Linked DNA regions of Drosophila melanogaster. The protein of the gene in region 1 purifies or fractionates together with the protein of each later gene. This does not show direct contact. Each region holds a gene or a part of one and is shown on either strand. Other genes may lie near its edges.

Region 1 (7,779 bases):
AATTATTGTCACTAATTGTAAGTGATGTTTGTTTTAATGATTTAAATTATTTTTACAGATATACTTCCCCCTATTTCTCTCAGTGTTGCTTGTTTACAAGGTTTAGAGTGTGCCACCCATTCACAATTTGCCAGCAAAGTCACTTGCTTCTCGCATTTCACTCACCTGTGCCATTTGCGGCTTGCGATTGAACTCGCGCGGATCCAAGCTGCTGGGGTCCAGGTGGATGACCAGGTTGCAGAGCAGCACGCCGTCGCGCAGCGTCATCGCCAGGATGCGGATCTCGGCGTCCGGCTGGGCGGCCTTGTGGTCGGGCGGAATGACCTTGCACCTGGTCAGCCAGGCGACGCACTCGCGCCACAGATCCCCGTTCACGCCGGCCACGCCCCCAAAACTGTTGCTGCTACTGCTGCTGGCCATCTCGCAGTGGTTGGGTTGGGTATTACTATATGGATTGGGATTTGGTTTTCGTTTCGGATTTGGAGGAGGGGTTGCGGGTGGGGCGCTGGCGTTGGCGGTGATGGTGTGAAGTGGGGCGCGGGCCCAACTGGCAAGTGTTGGAGGGGGGAGGAGGAGGGTGGGTGGGTGCTACTCGCGTCGCGTTAATGGACACAATTGAGACTCATCAGTTGGCCGTTGCGATTGGATTGGTGAACCCGAGCACAGATACACAGAGCAAAAACGGAAGGCAATGAAGAGCACAACACTAGCCAACACCACACACAACAAAAACAACGATTTCGGGACAATTCGAGCGTAGTGGGGTGTATCGCGTTCGCGAAGGGCTCACCCTGTGCACCGGATACGCGCGAACAGTGCTTGCGGCTGCCGAGTTGCTCAGAAAGTGCTCGCCACTGTGGTTTTAAAACTAATTTACTTTATTGCAAAATATTGCGTTTATCGAAGAGGAAGAGCATACTCGACTTCGATAACAGTCTGGGCGGCCGTGTAACCGCTTGCGGCTCCTTCGAAAATACCAACTGCATGTGTGGTATTTACGATATGTTAATAGCATTGTTACTTTGTGACGAAAATTAATTGTGCACCTCGGTATGCTTTAATATAACAAGTTGATGTAAATTAGTAAGTAGAGTAAATACACATGACATATATTGACTCCAAAAAAAAAGTCACCAAATAATCTTGCAGAAGAATATTAAGTAAATTTTCCCTTACAGTATTTGTTTTAATTTCGTAATTTATAATCATATAAAATAGTTCTACGATAAGGAGAATTCCTATCTGGGGGTAATTCAGCTGTCCTCGAATTTCTCAGGTAATATTTTGAATATTTCCGTTCAATTTTTATAATTAGTGCACAAGAAATTCATTATATTACAGACACTAGCCTTTCAGAGGAAGTAAGCAAGCAAAATTGTATGTCAAATGTAAATGTAAGATGTAAGTGTAAAATGAAATGTTTTTCATTGAAAGTCGCGTAAATATTCCAAATTCTCGTGCCCGCGGTGGCGCTTCGTAGTTGGTTTTTTCTCCTGCGCCGACGACGGTCACTTTAAAGCGGCGAGCAATAAAAAAAATGTAAATTGTGCAGCAAGTGAAATTGAAAAGCAATATATTTAAGTGTGATCTGTGTGTTGTGGTGTGTGGGTGTGTGTTCGACATACAGCTAATAGGCGAGCGGGCGACGGCGCCGCACCCGCCTCGCCACGCCCCCATCGGCGAATCGAAAAAGAGGCGAAGCAACGCGATGGCCTCCCAACATTCCAGTTGGCGTTTTGGCAAGCGGAGCAAATTACAATTACGCATCAAAGGTAATGTAACGAATGTGCTAATTGACATCAAACACGGCGACGGTGGCATCGGCATAATGGCGCAATCACTCCGTTCGACGTTTTGTCTCACATGGCTCGCCCCACCGACCCCCGCCATTCCATTCAGTTTGCATTATTTTGCATTACGGCGAGGCATAAGCATTACAGCAGCAGCTGTTGTTGTTGTTGTTGTTGTTGTGGATCTTGAGCCGACCTCATCCCCAACCCCACCTACCCCTCCAGCAGCCTTCTGTTTATTGGACTTGGCCAATAATTGGTAGCAAAGGGTTCTTTTTTTTGTTGACATTGATGGCAACTAGCAACAACAATAATATGTTGTTGAGGGGGGCGGGAATGAGCACACTGGCAGCATTGCCCATAACGGTAACGATGTAGCAGCGATGCAACAGTGATGTACGCATGTATCGACAGCATGGCATTCTGATCAACATTTCTCCTGATCTCCTCAGTGTTTCCTCCGTTATTTATACATTTGTTGTTGTTCTCGTTTCTATTTTCTATTTAGTTTTTATTTTTATTTATGTATTTTTTGGTTTTATTTTGGTTACTTTTGTTGTTGTTGCTGTTGCCATTTGACCAAATTCTTCGACTACATGTTGGCCGATTATTTATAGAACGGTCGCCACAGCATAGAGAGAGCCCCCAAAAACGATGACGCAGCACAAGCAACAACATAGACATTCACTAAACATCGACCATAACAATAACAGCGATAGCAACAGCAGAAACAACAACAATAACAACAGCCACTACTAGAACTACAAAAACAATAACATACGAAATGCTCAGCTTGGTTTCTTCCATTCATCGTGTCCTTCACTCTTTCGTTCTTCTTCGCTCGTCATGCTCTCTCCTTTCTCTCTCTCTCTCTCTCTGTCGCTCTCCCCCTTTTCCAACCAAATCCATCATGCAAGTACAGTTAGCTGTAACGACGACAACTGCAACAACAACGAAACTGTTATGACGCTGTGTTGTTGTCATTTCACGTGCACAGCCTGCGTCAGCGTCGGCAGAGACAGAGGCAGCGGCTGAGCTGATTAGCTTTCCACGATCCACGATCAATTTCACTTTGATGGCTTTCTAATGCAAGTCGCTGTGTGCATGCATGTGTGCACCTCCTCTTGACCGTAAAAACCCCATGTACTATGATGATTTGAACATGTGCATATCCGAAAAAGCTATTACTTGCAAATAATATTTATGTAATATTCAAGTACATCGATGTGGCCATATTATTCATTCATAAAAGGTTGTTTTAATTAGTAATTAGTGTGTACGGATCTGATAAGAAAAGCAATGAAACTTTTCCTCCATTACAGTTTCGCAGGATCCGGAGGACTTCTACCGCCTGGATCCACAGCGATCGGCCGCCGAAAATGCATTCGAAATATACTCGATGCTCTGTTTGGAGGAGACGCGGGACACGAAGCGCCTGTTTCTGCTCAACGCGCTGGCCTCGCTCTGTTTGGGGGCCCGAAAGGGCTCCCACCACAGCAATATACGCTTCACCACCGAGGAGCTGCTCTACTGGTAAGATGCCCGTTGGGGAAACCATTGTTCTTAACATGGCTAATTGATCGCCCTTAATTGCAGCCTTAGTGCCTCACTGGTGCACACCTTCACCCAAGTGCGAGCGGCGGCACTGCGAACGATCCGGTATGCCATTAGCACGCCCAATGACATCAAGACGTTCAATGCACTGCAGCTGCAGCACCTGCTCTGCCGCTCCATCGATCTAATGCTGAAGAACGACGACGAGCGCGTCCAGGCACTGAAGCTGGTCCGCAAGATGCTGGCCATCGCGCCGGAGGACATCAGTCCGGCGGTGGTGCGCTGCCTGGTCTCGCTGGCGGATAGCGGCATCGAGGAGAACGACAATCTGTTGCGTGCCTGCCTGGCCACCCTGGCAGAGTTCGCTGTGCTCAATCCGGCGCTGCTGATCGTCTGCGGCGGCGTCACCTCCATAACCCGCAATGTGCTAGAGTGCCACAATCCCCGCATCGCTGAGAGCCTGTGCGGCGTGCTTCTGTACCTGCTCGAGTGGCCGCAAACGAGGAACATCTGCGGTGTGCGGCTGGACTGCCTGGCAGCTCCTTATTGCGATTTCACCTACCGGCAGAGTATCGTCGATAAGAACAAGTGAGTGCCCTAGTGAAGATCCCACCAATCCCTCCTTGAATACTGCAGCTTGGCTGCAGAATACTACAAATGGGTTACCCAAAACAAAAAGCAGTTTATCAAGCCAGATGTAAGACGGATCCACTTCACTCATTAATTCGCCGAAAGTAATTTAATGTAGAGTAATTATATCTGCTGTTGAATTGTAACCAAATAATCGATGAACATCACGCCGTCTTTTGAGATTATCAAACAGCGGATGCAAACATGAAATTCTAAAATAGATAACTAAAGGCAGCACGGCCATTGACCTCGTTTCATGCTCTAAATGAGTAGTTAAATCGGGCGAAACACTTTTGGAAAATCGAACAAGACTATCCCACAAACATCTACTGAAGTTTTTTCACAAGATGTACTACTACAAGTTGTAGATAAGCGCTATCAGTTACATCATTCTTTTATAAATAAAACTATCTTTCAGGGATGCGCGCGAACTTCGCTACACCAGCTGTCGGCTGGCACTGCTGTCTGTGCTGCGCAGCTGGACGGGCACCCTCGAATTCTGTGATCCTAGCAAACCCTCAGGCCTGAAAGCAATAGTCGACGCTCTGTATTTGAACCAGATCGAAGTCAGAGTGAGTACATTCCCCTCTTAGTATCGATCTGAACTTACTGAACATGCAATTTGAACAGAAAGCAATATTGGATTTGCTGTACGAGCTGCTCACGCTGCCGCAGCCAACCTGGACGGATGACTATGCGGTGGCGTTGCAGGCTGTGGATCCGTCGGACTTCCAGGACACGTGGCTGCTGAGCAATGGTTTCGTGTCCGCCGAAGGGCGCTCCATTTTGCCAACGCTGGCGGCGCGTGCACCGAGCGTAGTAGAGCAGCACCTGGCGCTGATGCTGTACTGTTTCCTCGAGACTGGACTGCTCAATGCGCTCGTCGAGGTTGTGGTGAGCAGCGATCAGTTCGTCTCGGTACAGGCTACGGTGCTGATTGGCAAGATCCTGCAGCTAATGCACACCCACCTGCCCCCGGATATTTGCTGTACGAGTCCGGCACTGCCCACGCTGGTGAGTCATGCCACATTGGGGAACCAGCAGGCCAATGCAGCGGTGGCCGCTCTGCAAAACTACCAGAAGTTGCTGCGCCAGCGGCCGGCGTCGCGCAGCTTATTCCTAGACAGCATTATCCAGGGCGGTGCTCTCATCCAGACGCGACTGTTTCGTCGGCACCTCAACGTGCAGGAGCAAGCGGGTCCTGTGCTACAGTTGCAGGAAACGGCGGAGGCGGCGGCATTTGCGGTACCGCCTGTCACTCAGTTTCGCGGCACCCTCGATCGTTCTCGGCTGGATTCTGTCTCCTCCAGCGACGAGTCCAACTCACAGGCTTCGACCTCGTCGAGGTCCAGTTTTCGACTGAAGCGTAAGTTCCTTCCGCAAGCCTTATATGATAACTTCCGAGCCTTCAATCGGCTGCTGACAGACTCCCGTGTGCTGAGCCAAGCGGACGCGCATCTTTGGGACTGGGATGTTATTACCACCATACTGAAGGTAAACTAAATCAGAAAATATTATGGTATCTCCAGTTTATAAACGATTCTCATCTTAACATTTGCAGTCGAATTTAATCCGCAAACTGGACTACACCCAAGGAAAGTTCCTGAAGCGACTCGTGGACTTCTACAAGCCGCGCAATAATCGGTTCTCTCACCAGGATTTGGTGCCTGGACAGAGGCTGCCTACATATGTCAGTGCCGGATTGGATTTAATTGACGTCCTCCTGTCCAGCAATGAGGTAGATTCTCTTAATGATGGCCTAATTAGTGAAAATAGCCTAAAGTTACTCGTTAATTTGCAGCTTGAATGTATGCGCTTTATAACCGACTACTTTTCGGACATCAGCCAACAGCTGGCGGCCGTCACCACATCGAATCGTGCACACGACTGTCTATTTAGTCCACAGCATATGAATAACACGATGTGTCAGCAGTATTTCCTCTACATCGGACGCATGTGCCGAACCGTAAAAGGCATCGAAGTACTCAAAAATACCACCGTATTTGAATAGTGAGTGCTGAGTGATATGTACATAATTTGACTTAAATCTTGTCAAATTAGGTTAAAGAATCTAAAGATGTTAGACCAAAACGAATCGACTAATCGGAAGGGGTTAACTCATTCAATATTAACTAAACCTAGTAAGACCTTCGCTAATCGAGATTTCCTTAATTTCAGCTTGATCAATTTGGTGCGGGTGACGGACCACGTCTGCTATGTGAAGCTAATTGTGTCCGGCCTGAACTACAGCTACGAGAAGCTACCACGTCAGGTGCTGGAAAAGGCGCTTACGTCGGCGAAGACACGCGGACGTCTGTACTCCACCCAGTTCATGGCAGTGCTGCTGCGTGCCCGTCTGCCTCACTTTGAGGTATGGGGCATTCCATTGATTATCAACCAGACGCGGGATTCGGACCGTAGCGTGGGGCTGGCAGCCATGGATGTACTGGAGGAGGCCTGCCACGACAAGTACTACCTGGAGGAGATTGTCAGTCGGTGGCCCAATCTAACGCATCGTGGTGATGCAGGACGGCTGCTGATGGCCCGCTATTATTCACTGCCCCGCGGCCTGAACAGTACGATGGCACGAATCGAGGATGAGATCCGCTACTGGCGGAATGGGTACAACAAGCGCTACGTGCTCCTCGTGGAAGCCGACACCCACTCAAGCCTGACGCTGCACATCCGCAATGAGGATGGCTACTACTCGCGTCGCAATTGCAACCAGAGACCACAGACTGTACCACCAAACGTTGCACCTCATCTGTACGGGCAAATGGCACAGACTGGCCAGGGTATGACAGCTCTGCGGAAGCACGGAGACCTGCCGCAGCTATTGGAACTGCTCAGACGCGCCAAATGCACGGACGATGCCGAGTGCCTTGAACTGAAGGCCGCCATTTGGGCACTGGCCCACGCCTCAACCCACTCCAATGGAATTGAATACTTTGTCGAACTGAATGCCAGGTAAGTCACATACATATCACATAACTTCGAATCGTGTCCCACGAATTTGAAAGAGTATACACAAAAGATGCAAGATGTTACAAAGTTATTTATTGTTTGTAGACTATACGAGAAGCTTATTGTTCTGGTGACCAAATGCGAGGTATATTCGGTGAGGGCCACCTGTTTTAGTGCCTTAGGTCTTATCGCAGGCACACAGGCAGGTGCCAATATCCTTTTTAAGTTGAGTAAGTGTCCCATCACAAATGTGTTTGAAAAACTGATTGTGTCCTAATTGAAAAATGCATGTTTTGCAGACTGGCTGAGCGTGCGACATGACAAGAACACAATGTGGCCCGTGCATCAGCCGGAGGATTGGATGTCCAGCCAGTACACACCGGTGCGACATTACTACGAGGACGTGCCGGCGGACAATATGACCATGATGGATGACTATATAGAAAGATTCTACGAAACGGGCTCAGACTTTTGGCACATGCTCGCCGATCAGACTGATGCGAGTGGTGGTGGTGGGGGTGTAGCCGGCACAGTCGTCGGTATGCATCCTATAGTGCAGGATCCAAATGCAACGATTACGACCACGGACAGTGTTCGCACCACGACCGATGATGTGCACCCCAGAATGTTGGTTGGAGTGGCTGCCAAATCAAAGACTTTGCCAGAAGGTAGCAATCTGCGTCAGGGCAAGCACCAACGCTCGCTCTCCGAATCGAAGACCACGGATGTGATCAGCTTGTTGGGCAGTGGTGTAGGTACGATGTCGGGAGCTGTTCTCTACCCAACGCCGTATCAGCATCGAATACGCTACAACTCGTGCACGGATTCAAACACTTCCGGC
Region 2 (8,952 bases), 7.6 Mb from region 1:
ATTTGGCCACTGCAGGTTAGGGTGAGGAAGCAGCAGTCCAGCAGTTGCATTAGAGTGTCCGTTAGATGCAGACTGGGATTGGGTAGATCTCCGACAGGTGAGGCAGACATACCCGTTCCCTTGAGGCCGGTTTTCTTGCGACGTCTGGAAGCGGACTTGCCAAAGACATACTGAAGTCTCAGGCCATGGGTGGCGAATCTAAGGACGGCGGTTTTGTCCAGGCGACGGGAGGATTCGGCTGCATGTGGTACCATGGTGGCCAGCTCCTGGATGCTGGCATTAAGCTTATCCCGTCGCTGTTTTTCGGCAAGGTTACGGGCCTCCCGTCCATTCGCTGGATCTGAGGAGCTCCCACTTCCCGATCCCGATCCCGATCCCGATCCTGTCGAGCCAGCGGATCCTGTGGAGCCCGTGTTGCCCGTCTCTGGTGCTGCCATTTTGGACTTTTTGGGCGTTTTCTGGAGTTACTGCCTCCTTGTTTTCCACTTGTAATCCTCGATTTATGGATTTTCCCCTTTAATTGGCGCCTTGCGGTAAATGAAAATCGTCACTCTCCATAACAGGGTGTACGCTCCGCACTTCTAGAATTGTTATTATGGAAATTTTTCGGCTAAAATATATTTTTTATTACTTTTGCAGCTTTTAGTTTCTTATTTTTGGCTGTTGTCTTGTTTTTTTTGCTGCTTTTAAAGTTTTCAAGGTCTCGCTTATGCTGTGCTGTTGTTTTTGTTTTTGCTCGCCTCCCCTCTCTCGCTCACTCTCCTTCGCTCACTGACACACACACACACACGTCACTCTCACGCAACGTACATATGTTTTCTCTTTTCGCTTTCGTACTTTTCCACTTGCTTTTAGTCTTATTATTACTATTATTTGCTTCCCTATTTATTTATGCGTTTCGCCTTGTAGTTTTTTATTTTTCGTTTTTTTTTTACGTTTTGATTGCGTTGCGAATCTGAATCTCCTGCTTATTGTTGTTGCTGTTGCTGGTGGCGTTGTTGTTGTTGCGATTTAATGCCCGCAATAAGGAAATTCGGAGGGCGGCGGTCGTTTTAACAACGCACTTGCTGCTTGCACTTATTTTTGTTTATACTAAGTGATTAATTGTTTATTTGTAACATTTATTTTATAACAATAAACATTGGCCAGTCTAAAAACTATCGATACATCGATGTAACTGGTTGTCGTACTAAAATTCGCACGTTCACACCGGACAAAATATCAGAAAGATTCGAACATCTTGTTCGCTGTCGATAACATTGTTGTAATACATGTAATCTATCAGGTCTTTTTATAATTCTATTATAAATTATTTTTATTAATTCTTATTATAATACATAAGTCCACAGTAATAATGTAATAACTTTTGATGTTACAATAAATCCATAAATATTTTTGCTACAAAATTCGAATAATTTCGATAGCAGACGTCATGCAATTTTATTATCGATTAGCACGCTCGATAACTATTGGCGCTCTTTCTTGTTTACGGCATTTCATTTTCTGCTGAAATTGGCTGTTTTTTGAACGTTATTAACTGAGGAGTTATTATGGATGCCTTTGATCCACGCTCGATTATCAACGGCGGCATGCTGAAGCAGTTTTCCGGCCAAACCGTGAGCATAATGGTTCGCGTGGAGAGCGTCGCGGGATCCACTTTGCTGGCCAGTTCCACAGACAACCACAAGCTAAAGATCAATCTGCCGGGTGAGCTGGGCGCCGCCGAAGGGGCCTGGGTCGAGGTCATTGGAGTGCCCCATGGTGCGGACACCCTCAGGGCCAAGGAGGTGGGTGCACTCAATCCATGGAGTCATTTATTTCAATGATCCCAAACCATTTGCCCACTATTCATTTGCAGGTCATCGAGTTTGGCGGCGAGAACATCGACTTCGATAAGGATGGCTATAATGGATTGAGCCACCTGATTAACAATGTCAAGGCCTTCTATCGCAGCGGCTAGGATGTCCACAATTATATCTAAGAATTAATATTATGTACTCTAATGTTATTTTTTCCATTTTTTTGGAGAACACTCAGAGCTGGCATTAACTTTAAATATAAATCATCTATCTACATATATTACGAGTACAATTTACGGGTGTTTTAACCAGTTCCACGTATATTCTACAACAAATACTTAATACCCACAATTTAATAACATAAACAACACATTCTTAAACGCTCTTGTGTAATAACATTTACTTCCACAATTTGTTATTGTATATATGTTGGTATAAAAAGACTAACTAGCAGATAATCAATTCAACAGTTGAACAATTAACATAGGGCGAGCCAGCTGACGAGTGATGACCAGTTGCATGGACTCCAAGTCCGTATGCAACTTGAGGGTTATTGCAGCACAGCCGCATTGGCCACCACGCTAGGATTGTTGACCACCTCGCCGAGCGAATCGAGAACCTCCTTTCTGTAGTCATCGAACTCTCCAACAATCTCGTTGATCGTCTGATCCTCAATTACGTAGAGAGTGCAACCTGTTTCACGGATCAAACGCTCGTCGTGGGAGACGATGATCACGCCACCCTCGTACTCGTTGATTGCCTCCGCCAAGGCGTCGATACTCTCGATGTCCAGATTGTTCGTAGGCTCATCGAGAATTAGTACATCCGGCGCACTCAAGCATAGCTCAGCGAGGGCCACACGGGCTTTCTGACCACCGGACAGATCCTTCATCTTGATGGTGTGTGCATGACTGACCAAACCAAAGGAACCCAATGCCTTACGCGCCTTTTCGTGGGGCAGATTGAACAGACGCTGCAGGTACTCTGCAGCCGATTCCTCTGCCGTGAGATGTTCACCTGAGTGCTGATCGAAGCGGCCCACATGAAGTCGGTGATTCTTGCGCTGCTCACCCTCCTGCGGTTCCAATTCACCGAGCAGCAGCTTGAGGAAGGTTGATTTGCCCACACCATTGGGTCCCACGATGGCCACTCGACTAGTTAGATCAATGCCAAAGTCAACCTTGATGAACAGCGGTTTCTGGCTCGGAAAGGCGAAGGTGACATTGTGGACACCCAGAATGGGTGGCTGGAGCTGCGATGGCTCCGGGAAGCGGAACTTGACAATATATTCCTTGGGCCTGGCCAACAGCTCCTGAGGTCCCTCATCCTCGTCCTGTTTCTGCTGCTTAGACTTGTTCTTCTCCTGCTTGCGTGTGAGCGATTCCTTCTGCTTCTTTTCCGCTGCCTTCTTCGACTGACCGTGGGCCTTCAGCTCGCGCAGGCGCTTCTCCTGCTTCTCGTACTCCTTGATCATCTCGCGGCGTTTCTGCACATACATCTTCTTGAACATGGAATAGTTGCCCTTGTAGTATTGCAGTTTCTTTTGATCCAAATGTATGATCTCGTTGCAGACGTTGTCCAAGAAACTCTGGTCGTGGGACACGATCAACAGGGTCTTCTTCCAGCCCTGCAGATAGTTGTCCAGCCAAATGACAGCATTAAGATCCAAATGATTGGTCGGTTCGTCGAGCATAAGCAACGTGGGCTCCAGATAGAGAGCTCTTGCTAGGGACACTCTCATGCGCCAGCCTCCGGAGAATTTGTTCGTCGGCCTGTCCTGCATCTCTTTGCTGAAACCCAAACCGGCAAGGATTCTTCGTGCCCTGGCTTCCGCCGAGTAGGCTCCAATGGCTTTCAGTTCCGCGAAGGTATCGTTTAGCTCCTCCTGCACCGTCAAATCGCCAGCGACAAACTGTTTCTCCAGTTCATCGGCCTTCTTTAGCATCTCTGTGCGACGCACATCAGCTTCCAAGATTGTATTGATGGCCGTTTTATCGGTAGCTACGACTTCCTGTTCGCAAAGCAGCACATCGATATTGGGCGGTATGGCAAAGGCACGGGTGGCAATATGCCGGAGCAGGGTGGTCTTGCCGTGCCCGTTGGGACCCACCAAACCATAACGGCGTCCATGTGCAATCAATAGGTTGGCGTTCACAAATAGATCGTTACCTGAAAAAAAAAAAAATGTTTGGATTTAAAATTGATAATGCACAACGAAAAGTTATAGCAATGATGACTCACCCTTGGCTGAGATGGTGAAATTCTCGATCTTGATATCCACGGCTTGCTCCAGAGCCGCCTTTTGACCAGCGCTCTTCTGCACCTGCGACATGGTGAAATTGTTGTCCAAGTCCGAGTGACCGGCACCACCCTTCTTTGTCATCAGCTCCATTTGGCGTTCGTACTCCTGCTGCTTCTTTTGCTTCTTTTTCTCCTTGTGAGTGAGTTTCTTCTCCTTGGCTTCCTTGCTCTCCTCGAACTTGGAATCTACCTCAGCATCGGCTTCCTCGTCGGGTTGGGGTTCAGACTCGGGTTCGGGCTCGGCCTTGGGTACCGGCTCAGGTGTCTTTTCCTTGAGACTTACTGCCGCCACTTTTTCGCTAAGGACTTGCTCCACTTTCTGCTCCTCCACTTCCTTTTCGGGCTGCTTCTGCTGTTCCTTTTTTGACTCCTTGGCCGCCTTGTTGGACAGCTGTTCCTTCTCCTCCTCTTCGCTGTCATTTGGCAGATCATCGGCAACCTCATCCTCCTCATCATCGCTCATGGCGAACATGTTCTTTTGCTGAGCCTGCTGCTTCTTCTTGGACTTCTTGGAGGCTGGCTTGACAGCAACCACTTCCACCTCATCCTCCTCATTGTCCAGGTCGTCCAAGTCCAGCTCCGGTTTATCTTCGTCCGAGAAATCGTCGTTCTTCTTCTTGTTCTTCTTGTTCTTTTTGCTGGGCTGTGGCTTTTTAGCAGCTGGCTTGGATGCCAGAGGCGCCTCGTCGTCATCTTCATCGTCCAAGTCGTTGGCAGGCAAACTCTTCTCTGGCTTCTCATCCTCGTCGCTCCAGTCATTATTCCTCTTGCCCTTTTTACCCTTCTTGGCCTGCTTTTTGCCGGCAGTCTGCTGTTTGCTCTGATTCGATGAGGCTATGCTCTCCAGATCCTCGTTGTCCCGATTCCTGGTCGTGACATCCTCGTCGCTGGAGTCGCCGCCGCCACCTCCTCGCTTTCCCTTCTTACCACCCTTCTTGCTTGTCGGTGGCTTCTTCTCCTGCACTTTCTCCAGCTGCTCCTCGTCGTCATCAAAGCGCTCCTTCTTCTTACCCTTGGCCTTGGACATGTCTGTGAACACATAGGGATAAAGAGATGCTATTGTATGGCCTATAGTACTTGCATTTAGCGCTTGGACTCACTTGATTTGATCACAGATTACAACAGCCGCCCTCGGATTTCACGTGCAGAGCTGGCAATATGTAGGTGTATATATGTAGGTGTGTAATGTCGCTATATACATATGTACAACCAGTTGTGTCGCCAGGGATGATTGCACGCGATATTTTGTTGTTGGACTATCGATGACAGCACATGGAACGAAACTGTGCGATGGAAAACCCGTTAGGTGTCTCCAAAAATGGCAATTTCGATAAACGTGTCTTTTAGTATTTAAGTGTTGAGATAAATATAAATATATATATAAATATATGTTAAGACATTCGTTTGAATAAAATCTGTGATCTCAGTGAATGTATATGCCGGTAAGTTTTAAAACATATCATATGCTAAAATTTGGTATTTACATGTGTTAGAAAATCCTACAACTCATTCGATAGTATTGAATAATCGTTGTCGAGATTTTCCATCTAACCGAATAATTGTGTGAGTGGAAGTCGACAAGTTAAGTACGCTTGTAGGTTCGTTTTATATTTCCGAAAGAAGTTGTCGTGTTCAGTGTCTTTTCAAGTGAACTTTTTATTTCTTTTACAAAGGTAAGCTCAAAAATTAAAACAAAATTGTTGAGTTCTACATGATTTTGACACGGTTAGCTGAACAATCCGGTGCAGATTTAATAAGCGTCGCATCCACACACACACTTACTTGCAACGCAAGTTCGCGATACGCCGAAGAAGCGGCAAAGCATAGGCTGAAAACACAGTAACAAAGCGAAACGGTCCGAAAGAGTGATAGTAAATTTAACTTAAACGAGAAAAACTGTGTACTTTGTGCCGGCGAAAGTGCAAGAACCCGCTATTCAGTTTTTTCGTATGTGTGCGTCAGGTTTCCTCTCGATCAACAATTGTGGCGATCAAAGCAGAAACGTAAAGAAAACAAACCGCGAAGCCGCGCAACCCTGACACTCGCATAAATTTACATGTGTGTGTGTGTGTGTGTGAGTTGTGTGCAGATTAACCGGCAGAATTCGTTTATTGTAAAGTATTGTATTAAAAAGGGCTAACTCTGATTAGAATTTACATCGCATACTTTTTAAATTAAATGACTTGACAATAAAACGTCGGTTGTGGAAAAAGTGACAACCCAGGTCTTCAGGGTCAATATTTTTGACAGACGAAATTCCATTGAATTGTTTGCCTATCGGTTCCATAAGTGATCACTATTAATGTTTTATGAGAACATATACAACATATATCTAGAAACTTAGCTTATTTTTTTGCACATCGATTCCAGAGCGACATGGATGTGCCCGATGACAATTTTGGGCCGTCAAAGCCGTGTGACAAGCAGCCCTTAGCTGGCAACTCTAGCAGCGCTACCAATTCATCGTCGCATACCGGTGGTAACGGTAACGTTGATTCCGCATTCGAATCATCTACAGCTGCAGGACCTAGTTCCGGCGCCAATCAAAGTAGCACAGGCGGTGCTATAGATGAACAAGGTTCCATTGGTGAACAGAGTGCCGGCGTGGGACAAAACATTATTGAGGGCGACTTGCTGGTGTTAAATGCCAATTCCACAAACGTGGATCTTTCGACTCACCGGGATGGCTCTAGCTTTAAAGACTCGAACACTGAGCAGGGAAAAAAAAGTAAGCATAAATAAATAACCAGCATCTGTAGCATAATAACACATCTCATCTAAACCCACTTAGGTACTATGATTAAGACTTCAAAGACATTAAATGACAAGAGTCAATTTGAACGCCGCAGACGCCGTGGCCGTCAACGTGAACGTCATCGTGAGCCCAGCACGCATCGTGACGATCTTGAACCGTGCGATTTAGGTCTAATGGGATGGACTGGAGAATTCCCAAAGCTAACACCCATATCCAACATCGAAAGCAACTCGGATAAAGAACCGCTGGTGAGTAGAGGGGATGGCGATGCTGTCCAGGACACGAGCTGGCCTGCTGCTGTCTGTTCAAGCTTATAGAACATACCTCTGTATACTCATGTTCAATCCACAAATGGGCTAATTTGAATATCCCTTTCGGTCGGTATTTATTCACAAATACACATAATTAATCAATATAATTTGAGTATAAGTTTATTTTAAAACTTATACTCAAATTACTTTTACCTGTAAAGTAAACTTATGTAAACATAAAAATATTGTAAATAATCTTGGGACGGAAATTTGCATAAATCGAAAGAACTTAAGGTTATTAGATCCCCATAAACTGTTTTTTGACTATTTTTCCAATCAAACTTGGTAACTGGTATACAGAGGTCTATGTTGTGCGGACATCGTTTTGTTTGTTCTATATTATTGTATTTCTCAACACGAAATCGTATCTGTGCTTATCTCAAATCTCAACCAAACAATACACAACATGCACACTACGGCAATAGTCGACGGCCAAGCCAGGTGTACTGCCATGGAGTGGCCTAAAGGTTTTTCCGAGAGTGGAACCACAAGAGGAGACAGCGGCAGGTACAACAAAGCCGGCTCATATCACTAATAAGTCTGAGGAGCAGCAGCAGCAGCCGTCTCTAACAACGCCGATAATGACGTCGCCACTCGACGCCTCCCAGGGGGAATTGGATGCAGCCATTAAAAGCCCTTTGAACGCAAAAAAAAGTCCAAATGCAACTGGTATTGCAACAACATCCAAGTCCAGTACAACACCAACCAACATGCAACCATCAGACTTATACAACCAGGTGGAGACCCTTAAAAAATCTTATGCTAAGAGTCGGAAATTTCACAGATTTACTAACCATTGATCTTCTCTCCCTCTTGTATCTTCCCCCATAGGTTGAAGATAAAAAAGAGGATACCACCAAGAAGCAGGCGGAAGCTGATCATACCTTGCACAAATCACTTAAGGACGCTCGCATCGTAAAACGTTCTATGTCCACCCATTCGCCTCCGGAGCATTCGCGTCGTTCAGTGCGCTTCAGTAGCCATACGCCTCTGACCGATGAGACGAACATAATGAAAGAAACATCCACCGAAACCTCTTTGAAAGTTATTTTCGAACGCCTAAAGCAAACTGGCGTAGAGCGAGATCTCTTTATACCCAGCTCCGAAAATCCCAGGCCTCGCAGCAATGGTAGCCCGGTCCCAAAGGTGGCGGAGATGGAACATGTGGCGGTTGTGAAGTGCAAAACGGTGGCGAAGCAAGGGGCGGTGGTGAAAGGCAAGGCTGGGTTGGCCAACCCGTCCAACGTAATGCCCCAGACGCCTGCCTTAACGGTCACTGGAAAGCGAGTGTCGAAGCCCAAGGTGCCCAAAGGGGCAAGTCCACCGAGTGAGGGCTGGACCTCGACCAGGGCGGTTAAGGGGAATTCTCGGGCAGACTACACCAACAGCAGCTCGTGCGGTTCACCGATTGGTAATACCAACATTCGCAGGCGCAGGTAGATATATTGTATATATATACACATATCAATCTCTATATACTCGGTATTTTCATGTCCAGAGCTCACGCAAAGGCAGCCCCTGATAAGTCAAAGCCTTGTGTGCGCTGCGCGGCTTCTGTTCATCCGTCTGGACCTAAGTTGTGCAAGGTAATTTACGAAATGCTATTGGAGATTCACTGGCTTATAATATCCTCTTTCAGAAGTGTATCTATGAGAAGGGATATGCCAATAAGAAATGGATGAAAAAGACTGGAGGAAATGAGGATCATTATGATGATGACGATGACAGTGACTTCAGCATGATAGAAGTCACTTTGGAAAATGAAATATCCGTTCAACAGGCGGAG
Region 3 (9,271 bases), on another chromosome or scaffold:
ACAATTTCATCTTTGTCAATTTGTGCTCATATTAAGTAAGTTATCCCATTGATTATTTGCGGAACTAGCTAACGTTTCTTTGTGGTTAAACAATTGGGCATCAATTATGACATGCTGATGGCCCTTGAATTCTAATGTTAAACGAACCATTTCGTTAAACACTTACAAGGGACAAACGCTGAAGTGGCCGATACATTTCGGACACTTCTGAAGGAGACCCGGGAACGCATTTGGATTCAGGGACATGAAGTACACCCTTACGGCTTCTACGATCTCACAAGTGTGATCCGCAATAACCGAAAGTTGCACGTCCTCGAAGTTCCGTAAAATGTACAACAAAATGCGGTAAAGAACGGATTCCGTTGATATAAAGAACTTTAGCACCGAGGTGAGGTCTTCCAGCATGGTGTCCATGAAGGCTCTGGTCAATAGCATTATATGGTCAAAGACTTTTGGATCAAGCTTATTGGCCATGATGTTGATTAGGCTCTCAAAACTTTCAGCATTGATCACGTGCTCAAATATGATTTTTCCGTATTTCTCCAGTACGAAAACAACACCGCCCACCAACACAGAGCTTAGCTCCAAGGCGAACACGCCGGCGGCATAGGTACTGGGTTCCTGTCGAGGATGGGATGTGGGCAGCGGTCCGATTAGACGGGAAACCTGATTAACGCCGCCCAGTTGAAGGCGACCAGAACCCGCATGGCTACCGGGAATGGGCTGACTAACTTTGCCTAGGACATTCCCTCCTTGGTTATGTTGTACACTAGCTCGCAATTCCGCACCCGTCGTCTGCACATCGCCATTTAGTAAAAATCCTTTGCCATCGGGTGCGAATGAGTATCGCACGCCCTCCTGATTCAAGTTTTTGTTGATCTTAAAAAGATCATTAAACTCTTGTGGCGAAATTTCGTTTACGTTGCGTATAATGTCCAGTTTGCCGCGAGTGTTGCCTTGCATCCGAACGGTCTCCTTGGCAGCCTTGTCAAAGGTTCGCCTGATGGTAAAAAAAATACAAGTAGAAACTCTTGTTTACGACAGAATGTATCTCATTGAACGTTTTTTACCGCTGCCTATTAGAAAGGTTTTTACGATAGTCGGCAATATTAGCATTGCTTGTCTCATTAATTATGGTCGAAGCCAATTTAAAGTTGTAGACGCTGTGCGTGAGCAGCACCAACGAAGCGGACAATTGCAAAACATCCATCGCAACTATTTCGTCACCGTCTTTTGCTTTCTGTGGAAGATCATAAATTTCATAAGTTTAATCTATCTAGCCTAATCTAATCACAGTCTAAGTTTCGAGACTTGCCAATATCAGATCCAGCACACCATTGGCAACTCCAGTGCCCGATACCACAATCGAGGATATGTTCATGCTATTCACAGTCAGTTGGGTGATCTATGTGAGTACATATTTAACATTTTTATTCCATTGTTGATTGCGTGGGGGGGGGGGTTTAAGGACTCACCGCTCCCACCTCGCGTCCAGCATTTGTGGCCGTTGTCAAGACTGTGGTGGCCCCAGCCGCTGCCAATCCCACAGTGCCACCAGCCACGCCCAACCAGTGACCACGCGCTTCGCGGTCCGTCACATTGATAGACTGCTCATGTTGGCTGCGATCGAATAGCTTGCTGCCAGACCGCGATGCGGCGTATCCAGCACTGGCCAAACCTACTACTCCCGCTGCGCCCATCAGCGGAGCGGATACGGGCAGCGTTAGCAGGGCAGCAATGGGCACACAGGCAGCAAAAAATCCTCCGACTGCCGACCCAGTATCCAGGTAGCCCAGCACCTTCCTGTTGGTCGTGCCCGCCGGCGTTGTGTACTTATCCAGACGTACTTGATCCCTGACCAAGCGGTAAATACCCTTCTCTGGGGCCACCATCACTCCGGCAGGCAACTCGTTGGTGGTCACATACATCTCCCAGTTTTGGTAGACCCGACCAAGCTCGTCGATAAACAGATTGCAGCAATTCGAGCTGACGCTGCTGGTGCCACTACTGCCAACTGAGTATTAAATGGATCCATTGATAGATAGATAGGAAATATATTGTAAATTGCATACGTATGCAAAGGATGACTCACCGACGCATCGACGGGCCCGAAAGACTGGGTGCACGCTGAAGACTCTGGCGTCCTCGGCGCGATTGACGTCCGTTTCGTCAGTTACCACCATTACGTAAATGATCGCCGTCAGCGATTGACGGTTGGTATACTTTCCTGGAAAACAATTGTACGCAGTTAAGGCAGCGAAAAAATGTACTATACTATATACAATCTGTAAGTCCAACTCACGTTGCTGCCAAACGGAATCGAAAATGATCTGACGGGCGCGCTCATTATCTGCGTTGACCTTCAGCCGGATTTTTCTGTCTTTTTCAGTTTCCGTTGCAGTTTTCGGTTCCGGAGAATCACGAATCAATTGACAGAGTTTGCCCCTTAGCACGTCATGTTGTTCATGGGACAACCTGTAAGGGGTTACGTCATTACCCCAAATACTTTGAATTCAAAATTCTAATGCGCAGTAGCAGTACTTACAGATCCCAGATTATCTCTTCCGCGTAGCCGAGCGACTCGGCAAAGTTTTGCTGCACTTCACGTGCGGTGCGGGTAACTTCATGGTTTCCTAATCTATTCGCCATCCCTAAGTTGTCACCTTTCCGTTGCCACAGTTGTGCTGCTAATGGAGTTGTGCCACGGAATCACCAGCTTTTAAGTTAAGGCGCACACTAATTGAACGATCGTACTCGAAATACCGAAAAGGCAAGACGGCAGAAAAGCTCTCTAGGGATCATACCTTTATATGAATACCCCGTATTCCACCGTCACCTTCTTTGGTGAGCAAAATTTAAAAAGCTGCTAGCGTGCTAAACCCAAAATGTAACGAGACGATGAGCTCATGCTAATCAGATATTTGCTTTGTATTTCTAGCGAGCACATATTATATTATAAAAAAAAAAAATATATATATATATATATATAGGCAAATCCATTTAAAAATATACATTTACATTGAAAACTTGCTGACAAAAGTTTTGCTTGCAAACATTTTTAGTACTTGGTGACCTAAAAAATCAGATTCTAAACTTAGTACTGCCAGCTTTGGCAACCCTAAACTATGAATGCTGCCTCCCGCCTATCGATAGCCGTGCAATCGAACCGGCTCCGCTCCAGCTACGCCTATCGGTTCCAGCACGAGCCAAACAACCCTACGTGTCAGTCTCATGCGTCGGTGTAAATACAGAGTTTTTTAAGTTCGCGGCGTGCCAATCTCGCGATATCTTGCAGCAGCAGCAGCAACAACACCAGCTCCTGCCCCATTCGAATCTCGCAGATCGCCGCGTGTCGATCGAGAATCCACGGGGCGCAGCGATTGTAGCGATAACTCCAACGCGACAGCAACATCAGCTGGATCTGCCGGAGGAAAAGTGCAGGGGAAAGCGGCGGCAGAGAAAGGAACGGAACGGAACGGAGCCAAAAGGCAGTGCCAGACAAAATACAAAATACATATAGTCGCTGTCGGAGATGGCGGGTCAAAAGTTTCAGTATGATGAGAGCGGCGGAACGTTCTACTACTTTGTGTTATCGTTCTTGGCGCTAATATTGATACCGACCACCATTTACTATTGGCCACGTAAAAAGAAACAAGGTAAGTGCCGCTTGCCAGCCGATTTAAATCGCACTCTCTCCGCTCTTGTTTTTTAATTTTCCACCTGCAGCTGTGCGCGTGTGTATGTGTGTAAGTGAGTGCCAGTAAGGCGAAGGCATAGACATACATGTGATTACCACGCTCTCCTGCTCTAACCCTCCCGCCGCCACCAACAAACTAAATGGACACGTTCCAATAAGTTATTCTAACAACGTCAGCTCATCGTCTTCGTATGGGTGAAAGCTGCGCTGCGATTACCGCAAGTCGAGCTCTCTTCGTTTTCCAATTGGGACAGCGCACTCAACGCTCCACAAGCGTCCATGCGTCGCTAATATCGTGATAACTTACCTATCATCGTGATCGGTGGAGGAGGAGTGATTATGAGCAAGTTACCTTTGACTTATCGCGATCATGCTGTGCTTGTGCACTTTGCACACACGCTCACTGACCAATCGGCTGCTCTCTCACGATTTTCCTCTCGCGAGATTTTCATTTCTGTAGCGCTGGCATTCCCGGTAAAAAAAAAAATGCAATATGCGTAGACAGACCTCAACTAATTTTAATCGTAATCAGGTTAGCAGGTACCTGTAAAGATCGTTTTTTTTTTAAATCATTTTATTAGCCATCTTAAGTGAAAATGATAAATTTCAAATATTTTAAAATAGCCTATATAATCCCCGTACTGACCCAATTTTCGTACACATACTTGCAGATAACAGCAAACTTAAAGAGGAATGTCAGTGCGCCGACTGCCAGAAAAAGAAGACCATCTTGGCCAATGCCGAGCCGTACAGAGCTCTCACGTCATGGACCATCAAGCTGACCATAGTGCTGGGGTGGGCCCTACTGCTCTTCCTCACGTACCGCGTCTCGCAGTTCGACTACGAGATGGCCAGCTTCGATCCCTTCGAGATCCTGAATGTGCCGCCGACGTCGTCGCAGGCCGAGATCAAGAAGGCCTACTACCGGCTGTCCAAGGTGCTCCATCCCGACAAGGAGACGGGTGACGAGAAGTCCTTCATGATGCTGAGCAAAGCGTACCAGGCGCTGACCGACGATGTGGCAAAGGAGAACTACGAGAAGTATGGTAATCCGGATGGACCGGGTGCCATGTCCTTTGGCATCGCCCTGCCCTCGTGGATTGTGGAGAAGGAGAATAGCGTTTGGGTTTTGGGTCTGTACGGCCTGGTCTTCATGGTGGCCATGCCCTCGGCAGTGGGTGTTTGGTGGTACCGCTCCATCCGCTTCAGTGGCGACAAAGTGCTGCTCGATACCACTCAGATGTACTTTTACTTCATCCACAAGACACCGCACATGCTGCTCAAGCGGGCACTTATGGTTCTGGCAGCCAGTTTGGAGTTTGACAAGCGACACAACTCGCAGGTCCAGGAGCGGCAGTCGGACAATGACGAGGTGCCGGCGGTGAGTGCATTTTATTGGAATTTCCATTCGTTGTTCGCTCACTAATAACACTTCCTTTTCGAATACAGCTGATTAGACAGCTGCCCAATCTGAATGAGAAGTGCAAGGAGCATCCGCTGTGCCGCATGTACTCCATCAAGGCTCGCGCCATCCTGCATGCCCATCTCAGTCGCATGCCCCTCAATCCGGAAACTCTGGAGCGCGATCGCCAGTTTGTGGTGAAGAAGTGCCCGTATTTGGTGCAAGAAATGGTCTCCTGCGTTCACCAGCTGGTCATGATGGCCTATGCCCGACGTGTGCCCCGCCTGCCCAGCATCGAAACGATTGAGAACTGCATGAAAATGTCGCCGATGATTATCCAAGGCCTGTGGGAGTTCAAATCGCCACTGCTGCAGCTGCCCCATCTCACCGAGGACCATCTGTACTTTATGAACAAGAAGAGGCACGTCAAGAACCTGCAGCAATTCGCCCAGCTCAAGCCGGAGGAGAGCCGTCAGCTTCTGAAGAACCTATCTGACTTTGAGTACGAGAACACGATGAAAGTGCTGGGCAAGATGCCGCTGATTGACTTCTCCATTCGCTGCGAGGTTATCGACGATGAGAACACCAATGTGGTGACCGCCGGGGCCATAGTTACGGTCACGGTTACGCTGGAGCGCAAGGACATGAAGACGCTATTCGGTGACACAAAGGCGCCTGAGAAGCAGGGCATCAAGGATGAGACCAATGAGGAGGCTGCCGGTGATGAGGATGAGGCTGCTGCCGCTGCGCCGGTCAAGAAGGCTTCTGCCTGGGCCAAGCCACGTAAGGGTGGCAAGGGAAAGGGTGGTAAGAAACCAGCCCAGAACCAAAAGAACCAGAAGAAGGTGCCGGCCAAGGCTGCGACAACAGCTACGATCACGGCATCCGAGGATCAAGCGGCGGCGGGTAACTCCGATGCCGAATCGGAGGCTGGAAATGCGGATGGCAGCGATGTGGAATCGGCTGCCGGCAGTGGCAGCGAGGATGAGGAGAAGGGCAAGAACAACTCCTCGCTGGACGACGACGATGACGAGGAGTGGGAGCGACTGCAAGCTAAGCTTAACAAGAGGGAGCGTCTCGAGGGCAAGTCTCGGCTGTCGCACACCGTCCACTGCCCCTACTTCCCCGAGGAGAAGCAGGAGTACTGGTGGACCTACATATGCGATCGCAAGTCGCGCACCCTGCTCACAGCGCCCTATCATGTGACCAATCTGGTCGAGAAGGAGGAGATCCAGCTGAAGTTTACCGCGCCGCGCTGGCCGGGCGTCTACACGTTCACCGTTTGCCTGAGATCGGGTGAGTTTCTAAAAGAGTTTGGATTGCATAGTACATTGGCATTCGAAGGGGGGATTCTCACACAATGTTTCCTCTGTTTCAGACTCGTATTTGGGTATGGATCAGCAGCAGGAGCTGAAGTTGGATGTACAGAAGGCTCCCGCACCACCGACGGATCATCCTCAGTGGGATCTGAGCGAATCGGAACCGGAGCACACCGATCAGCAGGAGAACCTGAGCGACTATACAACAGATACGTCCGATGAGGAGGACGGCGAATAAATCCACTGTCTACATGGACAGTGCGACGGACGGACGGACGGATGGATAGACGTCCTGAACCCCAATCAACCTCAACCTCCTCTCTAATTCACTGGGACGGAAGAGAAGCCTCTTTGTTTTCCTTTTAGTAAATGAGTTTCGCGTGGCGCGTGGCGGAGGCACACCAATGCGAACCCTTCCTTCGCATTTTTACTAGTTTTGTAATGGAAAAGACCCCGAACTAGTGCGTAAATAACTATAACTTCATTTTACCGTGTACTGTACTAAACATAATTATAATGTACTGTATATTTAATTATTTGGATACAAGAACTAAAAGTGAGACACGTAAATACAAAAGTCTATTGATATTACTACTCTTTTGTTGTGTTATAAACTGAGAAAGAAAAACCCACGGGCTTGTTGCTACTTTCGCTCACTTTAATGCTGAATTAACATAAATTTACTGCACAATTTGCTGAATTTCTAGATTAACATTTTATTCAATTAAATAAATAGCATCACAATTACTTTAATTTAAACCATTCAAGTTATTGACCACGCCTAAACCTTAGCAATTTTTAAGTTTTTTTTTTTATTACATTTTTGCTAAGCCTTTGGATAAACTAATTGCTTACAGCTTTTAGAATTTGAATATATTTTAGCGCAAAAGTAAATTAATTTTGTAATAAATAAAAAACGGTTGTATCATTGTTAGAGTATCGACACATAAAATAATAAATCAGCAAAAACAAGTGAGAATTGCAACAAGCCCGAATAGTTTGTGGAAATCATAAAAATAATTTAAATCAAAGTTGGCGCTGCCTCTGTCTGCGCTGACGTCGACGCCTACTGCGCAGCCGCTGCCCGCTCGCTGTCCAATAAGAGATCCGATTGGGAATCTGAAGTCTTCTTAGCTGATGCTGCTGTTGTTGTTGTGGTCGCTGGTAACTTCTTTCATTGTTGTTGTAGACAGCAGCGAGTTTTTTGTTGTTTGTTTTGGGAAAGGAGTAAAAATTGTAAATAAGTCACATAAAGGCCTAAACTAGGGTTCATTACCCGTCACCAGACTCGTTATTAGTGGGTTCTTGTTTCTATTTACAAAACATTTTTGGTATTATTTGGCTAAATGTGCGTTTTTTTATGTGCGTGTGTGTGTATGTGTGCGTTTTGTGCATTGGTGTTTGTGATGCGGATGTCAGTGCGTTTTTTGTTGTCGTTCAATCGATTTTCTTTTACTCTTCTTCGCTTTCTTCGGAAGAGGAATTCTCGCCATCCGGTTTGCTTTCTTCATTTTCGGGCGTGTCTTCTGTCTTCGTTTCTGCAGGTTTTTCCTCGTCGATTGGTTCTTCCTCTTTGGTTTCCTCTACAGATCTTTCGGCAGTCATAACTTCTTCGGGCTTTTCTTGAGCCTCATTTTCATTAGGATTTTCTTTAATATCTTCAAATTTTTCGTTTTCCGTACTTACAACCTCGGATATTTCAGTACTACCAACTTCCTCGACCTTTTTGTTGGTCTCATTTTCTTCGAATTCATCTTTCACATCCTCCGATTCTACAACCTCATCATCTTCGGTACTTTTAACCTCTGATTTGGTAGCACTATCCGAGTCCGCGGACTCTTCTGTTGCATTTTCCTCGGTCTTTTCTTCAACATCCTCGTCTTTATCATTCTCATTGACTTTGGTGCCTTTGGTGTCATTTTCCTCCGTTTTTTCCTTGGAGCTTTCGGCCTCTGATTCTTCAACGGCATCAACTTCCTCGGACTTTTCTTGCGTCTCGTTTTTCTCCGATTTTGTATCCCCATCATCATTGGTGGCCTCAACATCTGGTTTCTCAGTAGTGTCAGCATCCTCCGATGTTTCTGCGGTCTCCTCACTTCCCTCTAATTTATCTTTAACATCCTCGGATTTTTCAGTTTTATCATCCTTAACATCCTGGGAGTTTTCCTTATCATCTTTTACAATCTCGGATTTTTCATCCTCATCATCTTTAACATCCTCGGATTTTCCAACCTCATCATCTTTGGTACTCTCAACCTCTGATTTTTCCTTGGTATCCACTTCCTCAGACTTTTCTTGGGTCTCACCTTCAGCGTCTTTACGGGGTAGAAATTTTGATTAGAGTCTAGGGACGATCTTCCTACTTTACCTGTAGTTTTCTCCTCCGTTTTCTTGTCCCCAGATTCTTCGGTTTCAGTCTTTTTGTGGGTGGTGGGATTAGGGGTGCGAATGTTTTGTGGGTTGTTGATTGGTGGTTTTTCGTTTTTTTTTTTTTTTTGGGGGGGGGGGGGGTAAAGTGGAAGTTGTATTTACAAGATCAGACAATCGCTAGGCTACTACAGTGCAAGAGATCATGCCTTTGTTAGCTCCTATAAGCTCTAAAAGCCTAGAGTTATGGTTCGGTCATGCAGGATCTATCGATCTATTACCTTTTGCTCGGCATTCTCTTCATCTGCGTCTTCATCCTCGCCCTTTGAATTCTCCTTGTCCTTGCCGTCTTCGTTCTTTAGAGAATCACTCAATTGTTAGTAATGTTTTTACATTACGAAACTGTTTCGAAAAAGTCGGTCTTTAAGGCAACAAAATTGCTCAAGAATATTGAAATTCACCATATTCCTGTACTTTTCGTGAAAA
Region 4 (3,533 bases), on another chromosome or scaffold:
TTTCGGCTGTCTCCTCCGTTTCGGCTGTCTCTTCCGTTCCGGTCGTCTCTTCTTCAGGTGTGTCTTTGAAACCCTGGCCATTTGCCATGGTTACATCTATCACGTCATCGTTCTTTTTCGGCTTCCCATCTTCATTTCCCTTAGCGTTGTTGTTCTGTCCATGTTGGTGGCTCTCGTTTTCCTCCTTCGCCTGGTCCAGCACATAATGAAGTTCTTCGATGTCGTCTTCTTCGCCAGCAGCTGCACCTGCCCCGGTGCCCTCTTCCGATCCCGTTTCCGATCCTCTTCCCGCTTCTCCATCATCTCGGTTAGACGTTAGCTTGGCTTGTTGCTGATCCAATGCTTCCATCATATTATCTGCAATCACACGCTGTCAGCAAAAAACAATAATAACATTTAAGAAAAGAGGAGAAAAACAAATAATCAGAGCGCTATTAATTAAACGCACTTTAGACAAAAATTGTTATATTCATTACCTTTGCATGCCGTTGGCGTTGAATCCGTTCCGGTTCTCGCTATTTTTCTTGTATGCTTTTCGTTGTTCTTTACGCAGCTGAAAGCGAAATGAAACGAATTTATTATTACGAGATATTGGGTTTGGTATTTCGATAAAAAAAAATTAGAATGACAGCAAAGGCTAAATGTTTATGCGGGGGTATACACGATAAATTTTTCAGAATATTAACGGCATAAACATTTGTATTGCACAAAAATCGCCGGTCATTGGTTGATCTTGCAGCCCTGGTGCAAACGAAAAGTCAAAATAATTGAAAATACCAAAATAAATGTTAACAAAATGGCAACGTGAGAGCCACTTACTGCTAAAAATAAACGAATTTACTTGAAATATTCTTGGAATGGACACTACAATCAAAATGTACAGCAATTATGCACGTTTATTTACCTGCTCTCCTCCTATGCGTTGCTGTTGTTTTGTCGGTTCTGCTCAGCGTATTATTGCTGTTGTTGTTCTTGTTGCTGTACCCTGCTTAGGTAGAATTTTCCCACAATTTGTAGGCGGCAGAGGGAGAGAGAGTGGGAAGGCAAGAGAGGGAGAGAAAGAGCGATGAATTTTACGCGCGCAAACAGCAAGGAGAGAACGTAGCCAAAACAACAACCGATTTCACGGAAGTTCGCTGCACAACTGAACCAAAAAGAGACCGAAACCGAGAGAATTTGCCCAGCGGATTGGATTGGACGAGCCGAGACGGCTCGGAAGGAGAGCGGGGCGCCCCCACCCCACGGCGAACTTATACAATTAACGCCTGGTTTCAATTGTTTATAAACTCGCAGGACTCGCATACGTAATGCAAACAGATTTCACAAGTGCACCCAATTGCCGTTGGGCTTAGTTTCGACCAGAAGCACAATGATATTGTCGAATTGCTTTTTTGCCTTTTTGCGCGTCTCTTGTGCGGGGTAAAAAATGTTCTTCTTTTTGAACGTCGCCGTCCACGCTTTGCATTTTACGTTCTGCTCGATTTGTTCGCGCTCTTTTTCACCGTATTTTAGTAGCTGCACATTGGGTAGCGTATGGGGATTGGATATTTCACAATTTGGCTGCGGAGAGAGCTCGAATAAAGCGTGAAAAACAAGTTTTTAGCAATATTTTTCGCCTTTTTTACAGCCATGCCATTGAAACACGCGCAGAAGCTAGTGATGGACGATAGTTCGATAGCTGGCGCAGCGTGTTGGTGTGACTGCCAAAAATGCAACCGTGTGACAGGCATCGCTGTGCTTTTCCCTTGCGGTTCAATGTAAGCATATCGATACTTGGCCAGTACCAGCAATTATTGTTAAAATCTTATTTACACGGGCTATTTAAAAATATTATCTTGAGTAATTATCTTAATTTTAAACGAACCATTATAGCACGTCCAGTATCACAGTGGATCAATCATAACTAATATTCGTAGTTAGCTATCGATAGTTTTTTCCATCCCTGAATCGAGGTTCAGTGTCATACCGATTTGACAAGCTCTTTCCGTTTCCTTTTCGCGTGAACGTCCAACATGAGAGCCAAGGGATTGGTTAGTATTTGCCAAAATAAATGATTTATACAATCATTATTTTAGTTTAAAATGCGTGCAACAGATAAGCAAAAACATAGCCTATTTGGCGTAATCGTTGGATTTTTTAAAACTCCGTAATTTCTGTGTAAAAAACGACATTGTCGTGGACAATGTTTGCCGAGCCACTTTTCTTAAAAATGTGATCCTATCTAACTCACAAAAGTAATTTACATAATTGTGAGAAACTATTATTCAGTACGAATTTATAACTAACTATTCAAACATATTCAATATAATAGAAATACAACTGCTTTGTGCCGCCGAAAACATAACCTTCAAAAACCAACAGCCATGCGTGTGTTTGTTTGCCTGCGACTGTTCGCATTTGTTTACAATTGTTTTATGTAGACCATTTAAACTAATCCAAATCCCATTTGCAGTTGAAGGAGTACGAGGTCGTGGGCCGCAAGCTGCCCAGCGAGAAGGAGCCCCAGACTCCCCTCTACAAGATGCGCATCTTTGCCCCCGACAACATCGTGGCCAAATCCCGCTTCTGGTACTTCCTGCGCCAACTGAAGAAGTTCAAGAAGACCACCGGCGAGATCGTGTCCATCAAGCAGGTGTACGAGACGTCGCCCGTGAAGATCAAGAACTTCGGCATCTGGCTGCGTTACGATTCCCGCTCGGGCACCCACAACATGTACCGCGAGTACCGTGACCTGACTGTCGGCGGTGCCGTCACTCAGTGCTACCGCGACATGGGAGCCCGCCACCGTGCCCGTGCCCACTCCATCCAGATCATTAAGGTGGACTCGATCCCTGCCGCCAAGACCCGCCGCGTGCACGTGAAGCAGTTCCACGATTCAAAGATCAAGTTCCCTCTGGTCCAGCGTGTCCACCACAAGGGCAACAGGAAACTGTTCTCGTTCAGGAAGCCCAGGACCTACTTCCAGTAGGATTCTCCTGCATCCTATACCTATGACTTAGTGGATTTTTTCAATAAATGAGAACGTTGAAGAGTACACTAGTTGTGAAAGCTTCTTTATTTGAGTTCTCCACAGGAGTATATGACAATCTTTTGGCTGGGAGTGCCCGACTTGGAGCCACAACGTTCCATCTTGCGCACCACCTCGGCGCCACTGATGACATGGCCAAAAACGACGTGCTTGTTGTCCAGCCAATCTGTTCTGTAGAACAAAAGAAATGTAATTAGTAGAAGGAAATATTTCAGTTAAATTATTTATTGTAAAACCAGCTTACTTTGTGGTACATATAAAAAACTGCGAGCCATTTGTGTTGGCGCCCGAGTTGGCCATTGAAAGAGTTCCAAAACTGTTGTGTTTCAGATTGAAGTTCTCATCGTTGAACTTTTTGCCATAGATGGACTTGCCGCCGGTGCCATTGTTGTTGGTGAAGTCGCCTCCTTGACACATCTTTTGAATGGAAAGAATGCATAAATGAAGAAAACTATGCCAAATTATTATCTTACAAACTCGGGTATCACGCGGTGGAAGGAGCAGC

The links.
Region 2: the proteins of rictor (region 1) and CG1703 purify together in Drosophila melanogaster (affinity purification with mass spectrometry, with the first as the bait; one large-scale study listed by BioGRID). This does not show direct contact.
Region 3: the proteins of rictor (region 1) and Sec63 purify together in Drosophila melanogaster (affinity purification with mass spectrometry, with the first as the bait; one large-scale study listed by BioGRID). This does not show direct contact.
Region 4: the proteins of rictor (region 1) and RpL18A purify together in Drosophila melanogaster (affinity purification with mass spectrometry, with the first as the bait; one large-scale study listed by BioGRID). This does not show direct contact.

Annotation. Positions count from the first base shown.
Region 1 is NC_004354.4:19,254,980-19,262,758, reverse strand, and holds the start of rictor (rapamycin-insensitive companion of Tor), read left to right. Parts: upstream 1-1,518; 5' UTR 1,519-1,708; coding exon 1,709-1,772; intron 1,773-2,915; exon of another isoform or gene 2,916-3,014; coding exon of another isoform or gene 3,015-3,042; intron 3,043-3,112; coding exon 3,113-3,323; intron 3,324-3,386; coding exon 3,387-3,932; intron 3,933-4,392; coding exon 4,393-4,546; intron 4,547-4,604; coding exon 4,605-5,468; intron 5,469-5,535; coding exon 5,536-5,712; intron 5,713-5,775; coding exon 5,776-5,984; intron 5,985-6,152; coding exon 6,153-6,941; intron 6,942-7,043; coding exon 7,044-7,168; intron 7,169-7,237; coding exon 7,238-7,779. Other genes in the region: Vav guanine nucleotide exchange factor, read right to left, coding at 166-420.
Region 2 is NC_004354.4:11,608,353-11,617,304, reverse strand, and holds CG1703 (uncharacterized protein), read right to left. Parts: upstream 5,379-8,952; 5' UTR 5,201-5,378; intron 5,130-5,200; 5' UTR 5,128-5,129; coding exon 4,041-5,127; intron 3,969-4,040; coding exon 2,350-3,968; 3' UTR 2,177-2,349; downstream 1-2,176. Other genes in the region: Met (Methoprene-tolerant), read right to left, coding at 1-437; RPA3 (replication protein A3), read left to right, coding at 1,551-1,787, 1,859-1,960; CG2247 (uncharacterized protein), read left to right, coding at 6,477-6,828, 6,892-7,103, 7,592-7,903, 7,998-8,602, 8,665-8,752, 8,806-8,952.
Region 3 is NT_037436.4:7,357,376-7,366,646, forward strand, and holds Sec63 (secretory 63), read left to right. Parts: upstream 1-3,185; 5' UTR 3,186-3,532; coding exon 3,533-3,656; intron 3,657-4,263; exon of another isoform or gene 4,264-4,368; coding exon 4,369-5,078; exon of another isoform or gene 5,079-5,146; coding exon 5,147-6,395; intron 6,396-6,477; coding exon 6,478-6,656; 3' UTR 6,657-6,991; downstream 6,992-9,271. Other genes in the region: pst (pastrel), read right to left, coding at 163-1,000, 1,071-1,240, 1,316-1,405, 1,476-2,014, 2,093-2,475, 2,546-2,649; Sh3beta, read right to left, coding at 7,871-8,733, 8,787-8,835, 9,067-9,141.
Region 4 is NT_033778.4:17,545,906-17,549,438, reverse strand, and holds RpL18A (ribosomal protein L18A), read left to right. Parts: upstream 1-1,976; 5' UTR 1,977-2,012; coding exon 2,013-2,030; intron 2,031-2,452; coding exon 2,453-2,968; 3' UTR 2,969-3,033; downstream 3,034-3,533. Other genes in the region: MESR4 (misexpression suppressor of ras 4), read right to left, coding at 1-352; cyp33 (cyclophilin-33), read right to left, coding at 3,055-3,199, 3,273-3,445, 3,502-3,533.